2 linked regions of the Macaca mulatta genome follow. Each later gene encodes a partner of the first gene's protein in a complex. Links are inferred from orthologs where the notes say so. Each region holds a gene or a part of one and is shown on either strand. Other genes may lie near its edges.

Evidence for each region.
Region 2: TERT (region 1) and DKC1 share a complex: the UniProt entries of both Homo sapiens proteins name them as parts of the telomerase holoenzyme complex. The link is inferred for Macaca mulatta from reciprocal best matches to the Homo sapiens genes TERT and DKC1.

Annotation. Positions count from the first base shown.
Region 1 is NC_133411.1:2,381,513-2,385,012, reverse strand, and holds part of TERT (telomerase reverse transcriptase), read left to right. Parts: intron 1-900; coding exon 901-1,027; intron 1,028-2,545; coding exon 2,546-2,607; intron 2,608-3,500. UniProt on the Homo sapiens protein: Telomerase is a ribonucleoprotein enzyme essential for the replication of chromosome termini in most eukaryotes. Active in progenitor and cancer cells. Inactive, or very low activity, in normal somatic cells.
Region 2 is NC_133426.1:161,068,573-161,070,828, reverse strand, and holds the end of DKC1 (H/ACA ribonucleoprotein complex subunit DKC1), read right to left. Parts: intron 1,972-2,256; coding exon 1,834-1,971; intron 1,353-1,833; coding exon 1,284-1,352; 3' UTR 501-1,283; downstream 1-500.

The sequences.
Region 1 (3,500 bases):
AGTCCTTACAATGTCCTGTGTTTTCCCAGTAATTCCACTTCTGAAGTGACCAGACATTATCACGGGTCTTATTTCCCATTTCCAGTGCTCCAGGTATGGGGGAGGGGGGATTGCCACAGCAAGTCGCCAACCCGCCCAAATCCAGGGCTAAGCAGATACTATGTATCACAAAACTTACTCTGCCGTTAGACATGTTTTCAAAGAATTTTTGAAGAATGTTTAATGGCACAAAACGTTTATTTCAATGTAGCAGTGTTCAAAGCTGGATGTAAAAGAACGCAGCCCAGGGAGCCCGCTGTGGATGTCACGTGTGTTCGTCTTTGGACACGGATGTACACGGGCAGTGAGTGGTGGCAGGGCCCTGGAGGACGTCGGTGGGATGCCTCCATCCTGCCCCTCTGGAGATACCCTGTGTGTGCCACGTGCACTCACTGGAGCCCTCTTTAGCTGGCGCCACCTGGCTCTTCCATCCATGAGATTCAAACACAGTGAGATTCCCCATGCCCGACTCAGTGTTCTCCCACAGAGAAGCTGAGTCACACCCGTGTCCGCTCGAGGGACGCCTGGGAGTCAGGGCTCCATAGTTTATTATGTATTTTTGGCCGAGTTATGTGCAGATCTCATCAGGGCAGATGATGAGTGCACACACACGGCCGTGCAAGGCTTGGATACACTCAACATCACTAGCCACGTCCTGGTGGAGTCTGGCCATGCAGGGTCCGGATGGCGTGTAGCGTTTTGAGTCCACGGAGAGAGCACCCAACTCCCTCAGGCTACAGCGCGTGCCCCAGGCAGGACAAGGAAGCAGGAGGAAGGCAGGAGGCTCTTTGGAGCAAGCTTTGCAGGAGGGGGCTGGGTGTGGGGCAGGCACCCGTGTCTGACGTCCCCCCTGTGTCTCAGCTACGCCCGGACCTCCATCAGAGCCAGTCTCACCTTCAACCGCGGCTTCAAGGCCGGGAGGAACATGCGTCGCAAACTCTTTGGGGTCTTGCGGCTGAAGTGTCACAGCCTGTTTCTGGATTTGCAGGTGAGCAGGCTGACGGTCAGCACAGAGTTCAGAGTTCGAGAGGCATGTGTGTTACTGTGTGCACGCATGTGTACGTGTGTGTGTGCGTGCCTGCAAGGCTGACGGTGACTGGCTGCACATAAGAGTGCACATGTGCGCAGATGCACGCGAGCCATACGTGTGTGTGTACATGAAGGCATGGCAGTGTGTGCACAGGTGTGCAAGGGCACAAGTATGAATGTGCACATGCAAATGCATACCTGACGTGCATGTGTGTTCATGTGCATTCGTGTGGGATTCATGTGAGGTGCATGCGTGTGGGTGTGTGGTGTGAGTAGCATGTGTGCACATAACCTGTATCAAGGGCCCCCTCATGTTCACCCTGCTAGGTTCTCAGCACCAGCGCCCCTCCTTACAGGGTGAGATGGGGTGGATCCCCACAGGAGAGGGGGAGTGGACGCCCACAGGAGAGGGGAGTGGACATGGACGCCCACAGGAGAGGGGAGTGGACACGGACGCCCACAGGAGAGGGGAGTGGACACGGACGCCCACAGGAGAGGGGAGTGGACACGGACGCCCACAGGAGAGGGGGAGTGGACGTGGACGCCCACAGGAGAGGGGGAGTGGACACGGACGCCCACAGGAGAGGGGGAGTGGACGCCCACAGGAGAGGGGAGTGGATGCAAATGCCCACAGGAGAGGGGGAGTGGACGCCCACAGGAGAGGGGAGTGAACACCCACAGGAGAGGGAGTGGACGCAGATGTCCAGACGGGACAATGCTCTCAGGACTGCAACTTCAGAGCCACAGCCCACTGGGGCCTGGGACCCTGTCTCACCCTGTAAGGCGGGGTGCTGGTGCTGAGGACCTATCAGGGTGAACATGAGGGGCCCTCGATACAGATTATGTGCACACATGCTACTCACACTGCACACCTACATGCATGCACCTCACGTGAATGCCGCATGACTGCACACGAACACATGCATGTCAGGTATACATTTGCGTGTGCACATTCATACTTGTGCCCTTGCACACCTGTGTGCACACTGCCATGCCTTCACTCCCCCTCTCCTGTGAGGGTCCACATCCACTTCCCCTCTCCTGTGGGCGTCCACTCCCCTCTCCTGTGGGCATCTGTGTCCACTCCCCTCTCCTGTGGGCATCTGTGTCCACTCCCCTCTCCTGTGGGCATCTGCTTTCACTCCCCTCTCCTGTGGGCATCTGTGTCCACTCCTCTCTCCTGTGGGCATCTGTGTCCACTCCCCTCTCCTGTGGGCATCTGCGTTCACTCCCTCTCCTGGTGCCTTCCCTTTTTGGCCAAGCCTCGGAGGCAGGCAGACGACAGGGAGTCCTGACTCCCCCAGGGTGGTTGACAGCTGCCGGGTGAGGGTCAGGCCGGATTTCACTGGGGAGAGGGATGGTTTCTTGTCAAAATGTTCCTCTTTCTTGTGCCATCTGAATGGATGATAAAGTAAAAAGTAAAAACTTAAAATCCCAGAGAGGTTTCTGCCGTTTCTCTCTTTCCTGGCGATTCTAGGTGAACAGCCTCCAGACAGTGTGCACCAACGTCTACAAGATCCTCCTCCTGCAGGCCTACAGGTGAGCCGCCACCAAGGGGGCGCAGGCCCAGCCTCCAGGGACCCGCCGCGCTCTGCTCGCCTCTGACTGGGGGCTACACCTGGGTTTTAGGGGCAGGGAGTGTCTTATGTTTTCAGCGGTGCTGCTGCCTCTGCCCTGTTCTGTGTTCGCGTGGCTCTGTGCAAAGCGCCTGGTCTCCGTCTCTGGGTAGTGCTAGGAACCGACGTGGCCCCAGGTGTCCCCGCTGTGCCTGTGCACTGACTGTGGGACCTCATGGAGGCCAACCCAGGGCAGGAGGGGCATGGAGTAAAGAGATGTTTGTGGGGAGTCTTAGCAGAGGAGGCCGGGAAGGTGTCTGAACAGTAGGTGGGAGATCAGACACCGGGAGGATTTGGGGTCTCAGAGAGCAAAGAGGGCCGAGGTGGGTGCAGATGAGGGTTGCTGTCCCCACCCCCGGGAAGGTGCAGCAGAGCTGTGGCTCCCCACACAGCCCGGCTGGCACCTGTGCTCCGGGCATGGCTGTGCTCCTGGAACATTCCCTGTCATGGCTGGTCAGGGGGCCCCCCTGTCAAGAATCAACAACTTTATCACAAAAGAAAGGGCCAATCTGTGGAGGCCACAAGGCCAGCTTCTGCCTGGCGTCAGGGCAGGTGGTGGCACAAACCTCTGGGCTGTACCAAATGGTAGTCGGGCACCACAGGCCCGGGCCTCCACCTGAACAGGCCTCCCGAGCCACTGGGAGCCGAGTGCCAGGAGTCCGAAGCCCTCGCCCCATGAGGGCTGAGAATGAGTGTGAGAATTTGTGTTACCCAGGGCCAGGGCCGGGGCTGAGGCCGTGCACACTTGATGTGAAACGAGGTCGTCTATCGTGGGAACCCAGCAAGGGCTCACGGGAGAGATTTTCCGTTACAAGG
Region 2 (2,256 bases), on another chromosome or scaffold:
AGCTGGGATTACAGGTGCACACCAGCACACCTGGCTAATTTTTGTATTTTTAGTAGAGATGGGTTTTGCCATGTTAACCAGGCTGGTCTCAAACTCCTGACCTCAGGTGATCTGCCCGCCTCAGCCTCCCAAAGTTGATGGGATTACAGGTGTAAGCCACCACACCCGGCCTCTTTCTTGGCTCTTAATACCAAATTGGAAGCAACCCTAGACCTTTCTTCCACTAATCTGTCACCAAGGCCTTCAGATTCCTGAATGTCCCTAACTTTCAGCTTCCTTCTCCCGACTCACCCTGCCTCCCTCCTGCCAGGCCCACTATGTATAAATACATCAACCCTCTCCTCTGTTCTTCTACAGATCACTGGTTTTGTGGTAATCACTGCCTCTGAGTACTCACATCAGATGACAGGGCCCAAGGTGAACTGTGTAAGATACAGAACGAAAATGTAAAAACCAGAAAACATAAAAGCATCACACTTCAAATAGAACATAAAGGTCCCTAGATTTTTAATCAAAATATTTTACAATTTTTGCTCTGCTAGCATGAGATCACCAACAAGAAAACCCAACAGGAATACATTAAAAACTTAACAAATTGACTTTAATAAGTAAAAATTACAACATTCTTCTCCCAGCAATGAACAATTTCATTCTTTAAAAGTAAACGAGGCCTAAAACAAGACGGCACAGGAACAAGTAGTCAGATGGATTTAGGTGAACACTGTACAGAAGCTTTGAGGAAGTGCAAAGGACTGACCTCTAGGCCAGAACAAGATGGAAAACTACCAGGCCCATCAGACACCAGCATGGACAAAACTCAGTTATACTGAATTCAGAGACAAAATTCAGTGACACTCTTCTATCACTTATTTACGGTTCTACACCATTTCACTGAGCAGACTTAGTTTTTTGTTTTGTTTTGTTTTACAAACCTTATAAACAGAGGGGATAAAAAAATGCAAACTAGGACTATGATGTTAAGACAACCACTAGCAGACAGCTGCGGACAGTTACTGGGTCTGAAGGTGAGGCTCAAACCGAGAAGTCATTGGGATAAACTCTGCCTCTTTCATCACCCATATCCTTAAAACAGGACAAGATGGGATGACCACACCAGGTAACATCACCGAGGTCTCAAAGTAGCAGCTAAAATGTGCCGGAACTCTTCACCCTGTCTAGGACCTATGTTCCACTCTCTCAGCAACAAAAGGATCTATAACATGTTTTCTTAATAAGGCTTTAGTTTCTCCTCCAGCTGGACACAATGCTTCAAGTGGCCTTCACTACTCAGAAACCAATTCTACCTCTTTTGCTTTCTTCTTCTTCTTCTTCTTCTTGGTGGTATCACTGTCCTAGAAAGAAAGAGAATGAAAGCTTATAGATACCATGGGATCCACTAACAAAGCTATCACTCTCCCAGAAGGAAATCTGGTAAAGGTCCACAGTCAAGCAAGCCTTTTTTCAGGACCTGTAAGGATATTTTGGGTTAAATACTACATGTGACACAAAGTTCTGCGAACCTTTCAGTGACACCCTAGTGGTCTACTTTTGGAAGTAGAAACATTCAGATCACCATCCTACACATCCTCTCCACCCCACCATCAATAGAGCTGTAAGTGTAAGTGGTAGATGCCGAGTACCTCTATCTGTCCATTCCACAGGGAGGGCAAAAGCAGTCCAGGAACATGGGGAAGCACTAAAGGCACTCAGTCGCATGCCACCCCCAGGCCACAGCTCCTCCAAGAAGAGTAACAAAGCTGGTACCACCTGGGTAATTCTTTCCCCATGGAGGGACTAAGCCAGCCCAAGGAACCTGAACATATCTCCACACACCCCATCTCCAGGCTCGGCCCCGCTCTCCAGACCAGCCTTGGCCTTCTTGTCCTTCTTACTCTTCTTCTTTTCCTTCTTGATCAACTGAGGAGCTGCTGGAGGGGTCTCGTCACTTTCACTCTCACTCTCTCGCTTCCGCTGAGATGAAAGCAATTGGTTAAGTGTTAGATATTGGGCAATAACGGACAAGAAAGGTTCAGTGAGTCAAAAGGTAGTGAGGCACCGAGAAAGATCCCAACTGAATCCAACAGGACGTTTTGTGACTACAAACCCGGACAGGGCTTTAGTTTACTGAGGATTTGAAGACAGTCTCATCCCCCAAATCCAAGAAGCCTTGAGGCAGGCAGAGAGGAGCAGCACAGCAGCAGCATGGGGCTTGGGGATGGAAAGGCCCAGAGAAGCTGTTTCTTTCACGACTGCAAG